Linked DNA regions of Pelodiscus sinensis. The protein of the gene in region 1 purifies or fractionates together with the protein of each later gene. This does not show direct contact. Links are inferred from orthologs where the notes say so. Each region holds a gene or a part of one and is shown on either strand. Other genes may lie near its edges.

Evidence for each region.
Region 2: the proteins of CCNB1 (region 1) and CDKN1A purify together in Homo sapiens (affinity purification with western blotting; 8 studies listed by BioGRID and IntAct, with this or other methods). This does not show direct contact. The link is inferred for Pelodiscus sinensis from reciprocal best matches to the Homo sapiens genes CCNB1 and CDKN1A.

What each region holds. Positions count from the first base shown.
Region 1 is NC_134716.1:88,051,865-88,059,918, forward strand, and holds the start of CCNB1 (G2/mitotic-specific cyclin-B1), read right to left. Parts: upstream 3,412-8,054; 5' UTR 3,273-3,411; coding exon 3,252-3,272; intron 2,894-3,251; coding exon 2,738-2,893; intron 2,662-2,737; coding exon 2,548-2,661; intron 1,213-2,547; coding exon 1,030-1,212; intron 451-1,029; coding exon 292-450; intron 1-291. UniProt on the Homo sapiens protein: Essential for the control of the cell cycle at the G2/M (mitosis) transition.
Region 2 is NC_134737.1:17,145,616-17,154,104, reverse strand, and holds the start of CDKN1A (cyclin-dependent kinase inhibitor 1), read left to right. Parts: upstream 1-5,434; 5' UTR 5,435-5,640; intron 5,641-7,928; exon of another isoform or gene 7,929-8,489. UniProt on the Homo sapiens protein: Plays an important role in controlling cell cycle progression and DNA damage-induced G2 arrest. Involved in p53/TP53 mediated inhibition of cellular proliferation in response to DNA damage.

The DNA.
Region 1 (8,054 bases):
CAGTTTAAGACTACAGGAAAATTAAAGCTTCTATATTAAGTGTATGGTCATCAGCATACTAGAGCCAAAATATTTGTGTCGAGTACAAGTTAGTTGTACTAAGTAGTCCAGTCAGTCAATCATGTTTAATGATCCTTAAGTCTGAATTTCTAGAGAGATTATGAAAAGCAATTAGTCTTTGCTACAGTGCAACATTAAACTTGTGCTGGTTCAGATTTGTCACCCTTATCTGCTGTATGCGAGTGCAATTTTCCTTTGCCAGGATTCCAAGCTGCCATGTCATGCCCTTACCTGCAAGAAGCGATCAATGATAGCAGCAGTCATGTACATAGTCTCTGGAAGCAGTCTGAATTTCATCTGAACCTGTATAAGCCAGTCAATTAGTATAGCTCGCATATTTCCAGTAACTTCCTGTCCTGCCAGGTATTTTGGTCTGACAGCTTGTTGCTTCTGCACGGAAGAAGAGTATGCATTACTACAGCAATTCCTGCATATAGGGAAGCACTGGCACCATCTTCTTGGCCAACAAAGAGACAGAATCTAGCTTCTTTGGCCAAGAGATATTTGAAGGCAATAGTATAAGGCAGTTGTTAGCTATATTACCTTGGAGTAATAATGCCAGTGCTGGTAGTTTAAGCCAACTAGTTTTGCTTATCACTTACATTTTGAGTCTGTTAGAAAATGTATGCAGTTTATGTATAGCCTGTTGGTCAGAGGCTATTGAGAAACACGGTCTGATAAATGGAACTTGGTGGGAGAAGGAATCTGAGAGAAACCAGAACTATGTGGCTCAAAAACTTCTCACCAAACAGAAGTTGGTCCAATAAGCCTATCTTACCCTTCATTCTCCTAGCTGGTTGCTGGATTAAGGGAAAGATTTACTGCAAGGAATAAGACTCCTTGCACCTTAGGGATACCCAAAGGTCTAGAAAGAGAGGTCCAGTTTCTCAAGTAGCAATTGCACCAGAGAGGTGGTAACAGTCAGGGTAAAGTAGAATGACAGAAGATATGGTTCTTGTTTATACCAACCTCAAGATCTCTCAGATAGCTATAGATGTCCTTTACATATTCACTGCAGAGATTTGGGTCAGCACCATCATCTGCATCTACATCTCTCACTTCAAGCAAGACATCAGAAAAAGCCTGGCACAACATCTCCTCTGCTGGCACACATCCAGAGGTCTCCATTGGGCTTGGGGATGGAGATTCCAACTGGGGACAAAGTTTAAAATGGAGTACCCATAACTGCTACTGAAGACAACACTTCAGAAGAGAGGTCTCTGAAAGTTAGGCCATTAAGATTTGTAGATCAGGTCTATAGCAATCAGACTGACAATACTACAATGTTACTAAAGCCATGACAAACTACATCAGACCTCCACAGATGTATCACAATGATACAAGGGTGCAATAGAGTAACAGTATAGAAACTTAGTATGTAAGCTAGTTATATCACCCCCCAACAGAACTGAGTTCAAAAGATAGGACTACACAAACTTGATACAAGTAGTAAATCACAGCATCCCCAATGCCAGGTTTGGCCAAGACTGTTTCATAAGTCAGTGTTTGTAATGTCACAAGATATCCTATGTTGCAGGATGGGAGTGCTTGTTTTTAGTAGGAGCCATTTGAGATGGATGTCTACTAAGGGATGGTATCCTATAGACTACCTTTAGGTAACCAGGATTTCAAGTCCCAGGCTAAGAACATAGCCTAATAGCCATATGTGTACATCAGTAGCCCCTCTAGACCAGCATCCAGTCTAATAAAAGCCCATGCCAGATTCATTACCACCACACGGCAATTATCCTCACCTATTGACTACTCCCAGGTTTTGGCAGGTTCCACCAGACTTCTGCATGTTCTTAGGCATTCTGCCTCAGTCCCTCCCTCCCATCTCATCTGTAAAGTGAGATTTTACTGCTCTACCTCATTGGCAGGAGCACACCGAAAATCTGAGACAAAGACTGTTCTATACTAAAGTTTCACACAGTTGGCTTGTATATGAAGATTAGAGATGTATAATGTAGCTGCATAACTGTCAATTTTTCTATACACAAGCCAACTATGTAGTTAGACTACTATTTAAGTTACCAGCACCTTAAAGACTAACAAAACAGGTAGTTAAGTTACCTAAACACAGCATTACACTAGCTACAGAGTAGAATCTTGTATTGACCTAGCTATACATTCAGGAGGGTGTATTGCCTGCACTGGCAGAAGAGCCCTCTCAATGGGAGGAGGTGTACACTGAAGCACTTCAAGTGCAGCTGTAGCCTTTCAAATGCTACTGTGGAGTCGCTAAATAATCCATTCACAGACTGCTAGGGAGTTCACCAATGCTCCAGGGAAGAGGGCAAAGCCTGCAGGGTCAGTGATGGGAGAAACAGGCTCAACAGGGAGGCGCTAAGCCAGGCAGGAATCGGTGAGGTCAGGGTTGGTTTGGAGCGTGAAGAAGCGTGTCCCTCTTCCAGGCTTGCTAGGATCCCTGCTGGTTGTGGTTAGCTCAGAGCAGGGGCTGGATGCCGGCTGGCACTGCACTAATACCTTAGCAGGCTCCGGCACTGGGTTCTGCTCCTTAACCGGCTCGTTCACCTTCTCCGCGGCTCTCGTGGTTTTCTTGGCCAGGGGCTTCACGGCGGCGACGGGCAGTTTCGCTTCCTAGAGAGAAGAGGGGGCCGTGAGCGTCCCAGGCTCGGGCTTCTCGGGGCTTCGGCGGGATAGGCTCTGGCCTTACCTTTTTAGGAGGCGCTTTGGGCGGCTGCTTGCACACTTTGTTACCGATGTCGCCCAGGGCGGTTCTCGGCCTGAGGCCGGGCTTGGCAGCAGCCGCTTCCCGCTTGACGGCGGCCACATTGCTCTTCACTTGGTTCTCGGCGTGGACTCTGGTGTTCTGCGGAGAAGAGCGCCCCGTCAGCGCGGCAGCCCTGCCGGGAAGGGGACGCCGGGCACCCCCAAACCCTAGCCTCCTAGACCAGGCTCTGCTCAGGGCGGAGCTGCGGCGAGCCCGTTAGCCGGCCTTACCCGAGCCCCTGCACTAGCGTCCCGCAGCCCGGCGAGCAAGCTGGGGACGGAGCCGCTCTTAGCCCCAGGCCCGAGACACGGAGCAACAGCCGCAGCCAGACTGAGCACACGTAGACCCCGCTAATAAGGTCACTCCCCCACCCGCCCGCAGAAGAAATGGCTGCAGCCCGCCCGCGAAGGAAACCCGCCGGGGCTCCACAGGGTGACCCCTTCCTCCCGCCACTTACCCTGCTGACCCGCAGCGCCATGGCCCCTCCTGCACCACAAAGCCCTGAACTCCGGCTGCGCCGCTGCACCTTCAGCTGCCGGGCCTAGTGCGTGCGACTCCTGTCCCCACAGCTGCCCGGCTCAGAACACGAATGCACAACTCCCCAGCAGCCCTTGCCTGCAGGTTTAAACCACGCACCAAACTCCGCTCATTGGCTGCCCCCTCGTCTTCCCTCGATTCTCATTGGCCGCTCGCTGTTCCACCCCGAATGCGTTTCCGTGGAGACAGGGTGCTGATTCCTCTAGACGTTCGAAAAGGGGGCGGTGATTGTTTGTAGCAGGTGACGGCGTGATGCCTTTATGATTTAATCTCTGACGCTTGGCTGGGGACAGAGTTGGGGTGGGCAATGGAGTGTAGCTAAAAGAGTCTCAGGCTACCAGTATTTCAATAGTCGTGTACTGTGGCCATTCATCTCATCCCCTTAACAAGGAATCCCATGCAAGTTCTGCTTTGGGGAAACAATTAATTTAATATTCTGCATGGGGTCTATCCAGCTTTGTTTCTTGATAGTGCTGGTTCTCTAGGGGTTAGTCACTACCACTGGAACTTCACTATACTTTACGGTTCAGTAGTCACCCTCAGTCTAGATAAGGCATTAAATATTTAACTCTCTGTGCCTGAATTAATGTTTTTAATAAGATGGAATCTCAGCCTTATTGATATGTTGGGTGAAACAGGTAAACTGGGGAAAAGATGTATAGGGGAGAGCCTGGGGTATTTATGTCTGCTGGAGCAGAAATCCAGGACTGAAGGGGGAGATGGTTATGTGGACTGCAAGTGGGATAGGGAGCAGGCCAGTCCACTCTTTTTCATAGGGCTGTGGTAAAGTATGCCTTGTACAAAGTATGCCTTGTGAGGTATCATTTGAAAACATATAATTTGCTTATCTATATTGTTCTGGTAAAATGTGCATGCAAACATTGTATGTAAAGTTATAAGATGTTCTTTTATGATGTTACTAAGACATATTCCAATTTTGTCACACACCCGTTCTCCAGAGACAAAATCATGACTTCTTTGTACCCAGAGTCATGCGGAGAAGAGCTCTGGTAAATATTTTCAAGCCCACTTGATCCTCAGTATCTCAGGAGGCAAATGTCCTGAGCCCTAGCATACCCTGCTGGGCTGAAACATGAGTCTGGTGCCTCCAGTAGTACAGAAGCCATGAGCCCCAGTGCACTCCAGACTGATGACCTCTGCAAGACCAAAGCCCTGACATTTCACCCCAGGGCTGAAGCCCTGAGACTAAAGACTCACACAGGGCTAAAGCCCTAAGCCCCGGCACTTCCCACTGCTGAAGCACACCCCTGAATGGGATGTGAGGGTTCTGGGAAATAAACTCTGAGAATTAAAGCCCTAGAAAAAAGTCTAGCTAATGCCTCAGCCACGTGTCCACAAGATCAAATGGATCATTACCTGCATAAGTGGCCATTCTATGGAAAGAAAAGGGTGTAGACAAAAAATCTACATATTGAGAATTGACCATACAGACTTTGTCTCCTGGACGTTAGCTGGGGATGATTCATATAGAAGAGAAGGAACTGTAACAGTGGGTAATGAACCCATTTTAATGGGGTCACCAGGGCTGACTGAGACTTGCTGGGACTCGGGTAAAGCTGAAGTTGAGTGTGTCAGCTCTGGACAGCAGAGCTCAATTTCAGGCTCCCTGCTTGAGGCTGAATCCTGTGAGGCTCAGGCTTTGGCCCACCCCATCTGGAGCAGTAGGCTTTGGGTAGACTAAGGCTACAGCCCCTCCTCCATTTGCTGTATAGTAATTTTTGATGTCAGAGGGGGGCTGCAGTGCAATGAAGTTCGAGAATCCCTGAACTATAAGAAAGGAGAGAAATGTCTTTCAAGTCATCTCTATGCAGGGCATTGGTAACGTGATTAACAAAAGCAGCATTGGGGCAAGAGGGTGATCCTGAGATTGCACAAGTAATAGTGTGGTGAGAGCATTTTGCTTGGACTTCACTCTTTATCTTGTTCAGTTAGACATTACTGTAATTGCATTTTACTTTTATCATAACCAACTATGACTTTTATGCATCATTACCTGTGGTCACTTCAAAGTATATTTAGATTGAAGTGTCGGGAAAATCCTTTGACGTAGGAAGATTTGTGCATATCATGTACTAGTAATAAAATGGCGGTTTTTATGTGAGTTTATACTGTCCAGGGGAGGGTTTGGCAATTCAAGACATACACTTCTGAAAGTTTGGTGGTGGAATTTCCTGGTGTTGCTCTTCATGAATAGTTGGCCATAACATTCATGTATGGAGTAACTTACATGTCCAATGGCTTGCTGCTAAGATTTGGTCAGTTTACAGTTACCTCAATTGCCAATACTAGAATTCAAACTTGATCACAGTATGTGAAGATGGCCCCGAGCACTTTGTTTGAGAGACTTGTTCAAATGTTAAACTGCATGATAGCTGTGATCACATAAGGCTACTAGTTTCCTAGCTGGTCAGAGCCTTCCAGAAAACCCAGTAGACAACACAAACCAACCAACCAACCAGGAAAAATTCCTCTTTGGTTAGGATCTACACGTTTCTAGTTTTCTTTCTAATTCAAATACAATATTATCAATTTGGTTCACATACTGTCAGGAGATAATCCTGATTGCACTTCAAGGGTTATCTTGGTTCTGATTAAAGTTGCAAACACATCATAGAGTCATAGAATACTAGGACTGGCAGGGACCTCGAGAAGTCACCGAGTCCAGTCCCCTGCCCTCATGGCAGGACCAAATACTGTCTAGACCATCCCTGATAGACATTTATCTAACCTACTCTTAAATATCTCCAGAGATGGAGATTCCACAACCTCCCTGGGCAATTTATTCCAGTGTTTGACTACCCTGACAGTTAGGAACTTTTTCCTAATGTCCAACCTAAACCTCCCTTGCTGCAGTTTAAGCCCATTGCTTCTTGTTCTATCCTCAGAGGCCAAGATGAACAAATTTTCTCCCTCCTCCTTATGACACCCTTTGATACTTGAAAACGGCTATCCTGTCCCCCTCCCCTCAGTCTTCTCTTTTCTAAACTAAACAAACACGTTTATTTCAGCCTTCCTTCATAGATCGTGTTCTCTAGACCTTTAATCATTCTTGTTGCTCTTCTCTGGACCCTCTCCAATTTCTCCACATCTTTCTTGAAATGTGGTGCCCAGAACTGGACACAATACTCCAACTGAGGCCTAACCAGCGCAAAGTAGAGCGGAAGAATGACTTCTCGTGTCTTGCTTACAACACACCTGTTAATGCATCCCAGAATCATGTTTGCGTTTTTTGCAACAGCATCACGCTGCTGACTCATATTCAGCTTGTGGTCCACTATAACCCCTAGATCCCTTTCTGCCGTACTCCTTCCTACACAGTCGCTTCCCATTCTGTAGGTGTGAAACTGATTGTTCCTTCCTAAGTGGAGCGCTTTGCATTTGTCTTTATTAAACTTCAGCCTGTTTACCTCAGACCATTTCTCCAATTTGTCCAGATCATTTTGAATTATGACCCTATCCTCCAGAGCAGTTGCAACCTCTCCCAGCCTCGTATCATCTGCAACTTAATAAGCGTCCTTTTTATGCCAATATCTAAATCGTTGAAGATATTGAACAGAGCTGGTCCCAAAACAGACCCCTGCGGAACCCCACTTGTTATACCTTTCCAGCAGGATGGTGAACCATTAATGACTACTCTCCGAGTACGGTTATCCAGCCAGTTATTCACCCACCTTATAGTAGCCCCATCTAAGTTGTATTTGCCCAGTTCATTGATAAGAATATCATGCAAGACCATATCAAATGCCTTATTAAAGTCTAGGTATACCACATCCATCGCTTCTCATCTACAAGACTTGTTATGCTATCAAAGAAAGCTATCAGATTGGTTTGACATTTTTTCTTTACAAATCCATGCTGGCTGTTACCCATCACCTTGCCACCTTCCAAGCGTTTACAGATGACTTCCTTAATTACTTGCTCCATTATCTTCCCTGGCACAGAAGTTAAACTAACTGATCTGTAGTTTCCTGGGTTGTTCTTAATTCACTTTTTATACATGGGCACTATATTTGCCCTTTTCCAGTCTTCTGGAATCTCTCTTGTCTCCCATGATTTTCCAAAGATGATAGCTAGAGGCTCAGATACCTCCTCTATCAGCTCCTTGAGTATTCTAGGATGCATTACATCAGGTCCTGGTGACTTGCCGGCATCTAACTTTTCTAGGTGATTTTTAACTTGTTTTTTTTTTAATTTTATCTTCTAAACCTACCCCCGTCCCACTAGCATTCACTATGTTAGGCATTCCTTCAGACTTCTCGGTGAAGACCGAAACAAAGAAGTCATTAAGCATCTCTGCCATTTCCAAGTTTCCTGTTATTGTTTCTCCCTCCTCACTGACCAGTGGGCCTACCCTGTCCTTGGCCTTCCTCTTGCTTCTAATGTATTTATAAAAAGTCTTCTTGTTTCCCTTTATTCCCGTAGCTAGTTTGAGCTTATTTTGTGCCTTTGTCTTTCTAATCTTGCCCCTGTATTCCTGTGTTGTTTGCCTATATTCATCCTTTGTAATTTGTCCTACTTTCCATTTTTGGTTAAGCCAAGGCGGTCTTTTGCCGTATTTTCAATCTTTCTGACGTAGCAGAATAGCTTGCTTTTGGGCCTGTAATAATGTCCCTTTGAAAAACTGCCAACTCTCCTCAGTTGTTTTTCCCCTCAGTCTTGATTCCCATGGGACCTTACCTATCAGCTCTCTGAGTTTACCAAA
Region 2 (8,489 bases), on another chromosome or scaffold:
TCCATCCAAGGCTCTACCAGTATCCTGACTCTGACAGCCACCAGCACCACATTCTTTAGCCACGGCTCACAATTCTGGACTCATCACCTAGAAGAAAAGCCTCTTCCTAGTTGCATGAGTCACTGAGGGGCTTATGCCCTGGAGCAGGACATATAACTAGAGAGGGTCTCATACTTGTTTGAACCTGATATGGGCCTCAGTGCACTTTAATGACAAAAAGTTCCACAGGTTAACAGTGCATTTATAGAATCTCAGAATCCTAGGACTGGCAGAGACCTCAGGAGGCATCCAGTCCAGCCCCCTGCCCACAGCAGGGCCAACCCCAACTCAATCATCCCATGCCATTTTGTGCAGAAGTCTTTTCTTTCACCTGATACCCATTTAAAAGTTCACCATGTTCGACTGGTCCTTTCTCTTTAACTATGTTCCTTTTAAACTAAATAGCAAGGTTTTCTTTAATCCCCCACTCCCTTTGTGGATGCCGTTCTTCATTTACAAGAATATAGCGGCATCAGCCACCTTCCAAGCCCCCTTCTTGGACAGATGAAGCTCTTTAGCCCTTTACCTCAGTTTCCCTTCTTTTAGGACTCTTTCACCTTCACAAACAGGCTTCTCTCCTGCAAATACCCCTCCCTAAGGTTGTTATTAATATAAACAGAACCCAGTGTTCCAAAATAAAGTCCACAGAGTCTAACTCAATTTTCTGCTTTTAACAGGCCACTTCCTGCTCTACCTTACTAGAATCTTGTTTCTCCTGGTGCCTCAAACACTTTTATAACCTTCTGCAACTACAAAAACCTCTCAAGTCTTTATCACAGCTTCCCCCTTTATAAGGTCCAGATATCTTCCCTTAAGCCCAGCTGAGCAGCAGGTCACAGGCACTGGACCTCCGCCTGCTTAAAAGGGCCAGTCACACAGTGACAAGTGTCACTTGGCTATGGAACCATAATGCTTTTGTTCTCTGTGTAACAGACCTTTCTGTTTCTAAATCCACTCCTTGCATGCTGAGTTGGCAGCCATTTTGTTCTCATAGTCCAATATAACTTAAAAAACAACAAAAAGTCTAGCAGCACCTTAAAGACTAACAAAACATGTAGCTGGTATCATGAACTTTTGTGGGTGCAACCCACTTCTTCAGCCCATCTCCATGTTTTGTTAGACTTTAAGGTGCTACTAGACTATTTGTTGTTTTTTAAGTTTTTCCTGTTACAGACTAACTCGGCTCCCCCTCTGAAGTTTTCCAATATTTCTAATGGTAATCAGAAAAGACACACTGTGCTCTCTAATGGTGAAGACTTTACTGTTGTTCTTACTCTTGGTTGCTGCTGTCCTCAATCTAAAGTGAAGTCCCTTGTTCTGGCTTACACAACTCTCTGAATTTTGTGGCTGGCGAAACACAAGGTACATTTGCCTTTGCTTTCAAAATGAATTAAAACACATGAATTCAAAAATTAGAGTTGGGCAGATTGATAAGAGCGTGTGAGGTAGATGGGTTTGTTCATGGATACGTTAGTCACTGCTACATCAAAGCTCACATCAATCTAAAATCCTGTGTTTAACTATCCCCCTGAACTTCGGGAAGTTCACTCCTGATCCCAGCTTCCCAGGGCCTATCTCTGTGCCCTAGGATTATATCTGTTAGCTGATTTCATACTCCTGGGATGTGTCTGCATCCTGTGTTATAAGGGGACTTGCAGAGAAAAGCTCTGCCTTGGTCATGAGACAGTCTCCAACAGAACATGCCCAGACATATTATCTGAGAGAGCAGGCCAGCCTGAAATGTGCCACTCTGCATTGTGGAAGGGGTTAAATCCAAAACAGCAACAATCGGAGGTGCTGAACGTTCAGCAAGCACCCTGGAAACAGAAGATTAGATGCTTTATTTAGCACGTATATTTCTGATCCAAAAGAGCCTCCCAAATAGATGTGAAACACACCCAGCCTCAGCTGGAGCTGTACCATGGCAAGCCACCAATGCAGACAGGGCTTGGGTGTAAAACTTCGTTGCCCTAGAGCAGGGGTGTCCAAACTTTTTTCAACGAGGGCCAGATTTGATGAAGTGAACATGCGTGAGGGCCGACCATTTTGCCTGACATTCTTTGAACCATTAAAATTAAACGCAAATTAACTATTTTATGCAAAGTTTATTGCACACGGCATACTTTTCATTTCGTCACATGGATGACAAATCTAAACAGGTGTTAAATCACTCTGCCTTTCATATCTGAAGGCCAGATGAAAAAAAAATCCAGGAAGCTGAAATATATGTCAGGAACATTGTAAAGTACATTACATATTATTGGTAATAAAGGTTGTCTGTCAACTTTTAAGTTCAAAAAATATGAACAGGAACATAACACCAAGTATACACATTGTGTCCAAATATATTTATAACTGATTTAGACCAACTGACATTAACTGAGATTTTACAATGTATTCATCTCAATACATATGGATTCGTTGGGGGCCATAAAAGATAGATATTGCCAAATTACCTGGGGATATTGCCAAATTAAACCGGAACACGGGCCGCAATTGGCCCGCGGGCCGGACTTTGGACACGCCTGCCCTAGTGAGTTAGTTAGCCTTGCTTTTATACAGGTTTGCAGTGATGCGGTGACCCCAGTACAGACAAGTCCTGAGATAAGGGGAAGGCAGATCTTACACTTCAGGATATAAACTGGTCACAGAAGAGATCAGGAAGGAATCTTTCTCCCTCCGTCTTTCCTCTCTTATATGCAACAATTATGTAACTGTTTAGGAGCGCAGGCTCTGATCTTCTCAGGGCACTAAAGAGCTTAATTTCCATTCACTGCCATGTGAGTTAGCTGCCTGTATTCCCTTGTGGGCCATGGGGAGGTCGTTGTGTTTTGGTTTTGCTCTGAAGCAGCAGATACGGTAGCTGCTACAGAAGCTCGGGACGGAATGAATTGGGTCTGCTCTGGTATGGAAACCCTATTGAGAGAGTTAGTTTTCGACTGCCTTGAGCCAAACCAAAATCTTGCAGCACGGGAGCCCCTGGGAAGTCAGAGGGCAGTGCTCCCAGCTGTCCTTACCCATACCCAGAATACGCAGCATTGTAGGGCAGTGTTTCTCAACCTTTTTTATTAAAGTACCCCAGGACCCACAGTTTTCAGACACACAATTTTATTCTACCATTGCAACGCATTTGTTTAAACAACTTCATTGTAGCTGGGCAGACAAAATTTTTGGGTGTAAAAAGTACAAAAACAAAGCGCTGTAAAAAAACAAAAATTCAGTGTTCTCCACATTTCAGTTGTGTTGAAGTACCCCCCAGACTTCTCTCAAGTACCCATACCACTTGTTGAGAAACACTGGCATAGGGGACCCAAAAATTTGGGGCACCACTGGATCTTAATGTCCATTCACCCACCTCTTCCTATTCCCTTCTGTGGCTCTGCTTCCTCAGCAGAGGATCTAGTTAACTGACAAGTGACAAAGCCTGCCAGTCCCATTAGCAGAACACTGATCCTGTGCAAGAGCCATTCTGGTGGAAATGAAGCCATGTCCCAGGCATATGCCAACCCCAGGTCTACTGTCAGTTTCTGAATGCACTGAGCACTAATGTACACAGGACCTGGGTTTAAAATTTGCTTTATCATATTTCATTAGTGTGTAGCTGAATATTATAAAAGACTCACCCCGTGGGGCACCGGGGCACCAGTGTAATTACACCGTAGGGCCCCATGAACCCTAAGGAGGGCCCTGGCAATACTAGTAGCTAGGAGCAAATGCCCTGAAGTTCCTACCAGTGAGCTATGAAGCCTAGATCTGAACATTAACAGTTCATCCAGGACCGGGCTAGCCACCCTCTAGCCAGATGTGCCAAGCCGGTAACATTAGGAGAGACCTCACCTGCTCCTCCGCAGCCACTTCGATCCTGGTGACTGGAAGGGTCGGGGCGCAGATACACTGGCTGGTTCCGGGAGCTGGCCGTGGGACCGAGATTCTCAGCTAGTGCAGCGGCTGCACTGGCGCCTCCTGGCAGCTGATCCAAGCTGTGGTACTCAGCGGCCGGGCCGTGGGGTTAGCTCAGCCCCCAGCAGCGCAGGCTGCCACATATCACCAGAGCCCCCAGTCCGGGCTACCGAGCTGGTCGCAGCGCCTGGGACTGGCTGCGGGGGGCGGGGGAAATCAGCTGTGCGAGCAGGTGGGGAGGACGGGGGAGGAGCCCTGTGCCTGCTTATCTGGAGGCTGGCAGGGCGCAGCGCGTAGAGCGCAGCGGCTTGGAGAGGCGCAGGGCGGGGAGACTGCGGCGAGGTGAGAGGGCGGGGGGGATCCTGTCTTTGTCCCCGTTAATCCGGCCAGGTGAGAGGGCGGGGGGGATCCTGTCTTTGTCCCCGTTAATCCGGCGAGGTGAGAGGGCAGGGGGGATCCTGTCTTTGTCCCCGTTAATCCGGCGAGGTGAGAGGGCGGGGGGGATCCTGTCTTTGTCCCCGTTAATCCGGCGAGGTGAGGGGGCGGGGGGGATCCTGTCTTTGTCCCCGTTAATCCGGCGAGGTGAGAGGGCGGGGGGATCCTGTCTTTGTCCCCGTTAATCCGGCGAGGTGAGAGGGCAGGGGGGATCCTGTCTTTGTCCCCGTTAATCCGGCGAGGTGAGAGGGCGGGGGGGATCCTGTCTTTGTCCCCGTTAATCCGGCGAGGTGAGGGGGCGGGGGGATCCTGTCTTTGTCCCCGTTAATCCGGCGAGGTGAGGGGGCGGGGGGATCCTGTCTTTGTCCCCGTTAATCCGGCGAGGTGAGGGGGCGGGGGGATCCTGTCTTTGTCCCCGTTAATCCGGCGAGGTGAGAGGGCAGGGGGGATCCTGTCTTTGTCCCCGTTAATCCGTCCCCTTCCCCGCCGCAAGGCTGCTCCGCGCACCATCAGCGACCCTCGCTCTTCCGGGGCGCGCCGTTGAGCGGAGGGGTCTTTCCAGCTCTTTGGCCCCCAGACACCGGAGCGGGGTACCGCTCTCACCCCCTTCCCGACACGTAACGGGGATCCCACCCTGGGGCGCTTGAGGCTAAGCGCGGCCCCTCTCCGAGGGGTCACCCGGCACTTCCCGGGGCGCGGCCGGGGATTTCTCCCAGTCCCTCTGCTCTGGCGCTCTCGGTTTCGCTGGCTGGGGAGCCTGCCGGGACCGGCCCCCCCGCTCGGGGGCTGCGAGAGCGAAGATCCCGGCGCTACCCTGATCCGGCGCCGGGAACCTATTGCAGGGTTTGGGCTGCCGCCGCCCCGAGGGCTGGGACTGGGGCGCCCCCCGCCGGCACGAGCAGGGCCAGCGCTGGCGAGGCAACGCCGCTGGGGTCTGCAGGGAGCGCTGGGGCGCGTCGGGGCTCCGAGCGGGGCGCTGCGGCCGGCAGGGCGGGCGGTGCCCGGGCATGCCCCGCGGGGGGGGGGGGGGGGGGCGTTAGTCACACTTGCTATGAGGTAAGAGCCCGGCCCTGCTGCGAGGGCTCCGGAGTCACTGCCAGGCGCGCCCCGGGCTGGGCTTCCCCGAAGCGCCGGGCACAGCCAACCAGGAGGAGCCGTGATCCCGGTGCCGGTCCGAGCTCATGCGGGGCTGACTGCTGGCACCTCCCCCCCCCGCGGCAGTGGCGGGCCCCCGGCGAGGCACAGCCCCGGGGGCAGTTGCCGCAGGTAGCTCGGGAGAGGCCGCGGTGACAGGGCGGGGGGGCTGGCAGCCAGGGGCGGGACCGGATCCGTGAAGGGTGGGCTGGAAGGTGTAAACGCGCAGTGGCTCCGCGCCTAGGCTGCTCCAGATGATGCAAGCGGGCTCCTCTCGGCAGGGAAAGCGTGTGGCATCGGCATGTCCCGGGAGGGGTCGCTGGGCGCACGGGGTGGCTTCCCCCTGCGTCCGGAGTGACTCCTCTAGCCCCTGCCTCTGGTGTGAACGAGAACGGGCATCCCGGCGCCTCTGTCGGGCTGGAGTGTCCTGGGCGATAAACACCCCCTGGTGGGGGACGTGGGGCACTGAAATGCCTGCGCCGCCCCCGCTCATTGCTTACCCGGCTAGTTCCTAGTGCTCCAACTGCCTGCTAGGCTGCGCTGCCTGACAGTCCAGCCGAGTGACCCCAGCCACTTCCTCCCTCCCTCGCCTAGAAACTGCAATGCCTGGAGTACATGGCCGCAGAAGGCTGAACTTTAAAACCTGTCCCTTGTGACTTCCTTCCCTGACTTGGGTGTATGGAGAGGAAGGGGGCTGCACTGAGCTCCAGCCAGTCTCTGTGGAAGTCCTGCTGTCCCTTTCTCTTGCCATAGTCTCCAGCTGCCTCTTGAACCAGATCATGCTGTGATCCACTCAAGGGACTGGTAAAGATGCCCAGCTTCACCAGGAGCAGGTTCCTGAGCTAGGAACAGGCTCCAGGGGTGGAAGATCCCGAAGTGAAGCTGGAACACAGTGTGTTCCTCAAAGAATCCCAAACAGTACTGGAGCAAAATCGCCCCCTATGCTCCTCGCGCACACCGCTCGGCCTGTGGGGCAAATGAGGCAGCAGGGAGATTTGCCCAGGCAGCAAGCTCTCCGCGCTTGGCGTGTGACTGATTCCATCCCTTTGCAACTGGTATCCAGTCACCTGTGGGAAATGGGCTTAGGGGAGTGATGACTCATGTTAGAGCAGTCAGGGTGCGCAGAGCCAGTGACAAGCTGTTTCACTTGCCAACCCAGCTAGGTAAGCACCACCCTGGTGATCACAAACCTTACACTGTATCTGCTACTTGTTCAAGTCTGCAGGACTCTTACATGGGTTCCCAAATTCAGGGGTGTGCCCTGCTGGTGGGGGTGTGAGAAAATCCCAGGGTGGGGCAAGAGGTGACCCAACCACCACCACCCGCAATCCCACCCCAAGTTTTGCTGCTATTTTGGGGGGAGTGGGGCATGAGGGTTTCTCAAAAAATCAAAAAGTTTGGGAACCACTAGCAGAATTGGGAACCACTAGCAGAATGTAACAGGACTTGCAAGAAAACTTCAGTGTATGAAAGGAAAGGAAAATGACTTTGATGCTTCTTAAAGTCCTCAACCACAACCCCCCACTCCACCCCACCCCACCCCACCCCACCCCGGTGTCATCTGACTAAGCGTAATGCTTCAGCCTACACTCCCGACTAATGTGAGGTGGTGCAGTTTGGGGCCTTGCTATGCCTGCAAGGGGCTGAGCTACTTAATGCTACAAGGATAGCTCAGTGGTTTGAGCATTGGCCTGCTAAACCCAGGGTTGTGAGCTCAATCCTTGCAGAGGCCATTTAGGGATTTGGGGCAAAAATTCATCAGGGATGGTACTTGGTTCTGCTGAGAAGGCAGGGGATTGGACTCAATGACCTTTCAAGGTCCCTTCCAGTTCTAGGAGATAAGCAATCTCCATTATTAAATTATATTAAGCTACTTCAGTCTAGGTAGGTATGATGGGAGGGGTCCTCCCAAAGAGGCTGTAGTCCAGCTGGTGGAAGAATTCTCCCATTGACCCAGCATTGTCTAGATCAGTGGTCTCCAACGCAGTACCTGCAGGAGCCATGGTGCCTGCTGGGGCATTTATGTGCACCTGCCGAAATATCTGTGCTGGCCCGGCGCGTGGCACCTGCGCAGTGCCGGCACAGGATGCGTGGGCAGCCCCACCCCCAGGAGCGCGGCACATGCGTGGCCCCACCCCCAGATGCCTGGCACGTGAGCGGCCCCGCCCCTGGGCAACCGGCAGCCACGAAAGGTTGGGGACCACTGGTCTATATGGTGACTAAGGTCTGCTTTACAGCACTGCCCAGGGGTGTGGATTTTTCAGGTCCCTGACTGATGCAGTTATATGAACCCCGGTTCCTAGAATAGAGCAGGCCTTAGACACTGATTTAAGTCTAAGTCAGTGGGAGACATTAAGAGCACTCAGTATCTCTCAGGAGAGGGCCTTCTGCATTCTAATGGGTGTGAGTGTTTGCTTTTAGATGCATGAACAAGTTGAAACTTGTTACCTGCCAGGGCTTGTTTGGACATGCTGGAACTTGACTGCTGGCAGTGATGTCATTCCACTGAATTGTTTACAAGGGTGTGAACTGTCAGGCGACACGAGGGCTGATTTCTATTTTTATCTCTTGGCCTCTTCCTCTCTGGGTGAAAAGGCAGAAACAAAGTGGGATCAATAGAATATTATAGACAGTGAGACTATTAAGTTAAGGTTCAAGATATATAGAAGCCAAATGCCACTGTAGTGCGAAAATCTCTTCCAGATGAATAGCACAAGGCTACATTGTCAGACTGTGTGAGGGCAGAGCTGAACAAACTATTCGCTGCTTATTACAGAGGTGAGAGTTAACTCTGTTACTGGAATACAATGAATTCTGTGTGGAATGAAACCCGGTTCAACCCAAACCATTTTGGGGGTTTTACTTTATAACCATAAAGTAACCCTCAAACTCTTTAGCTCATGAAAATCTCTTTTCAAGCTAAGCATGTAAAATTCCTGAGCTATTTTGGTTGATTTGGTCTGCATTTAAAAAACAACTTT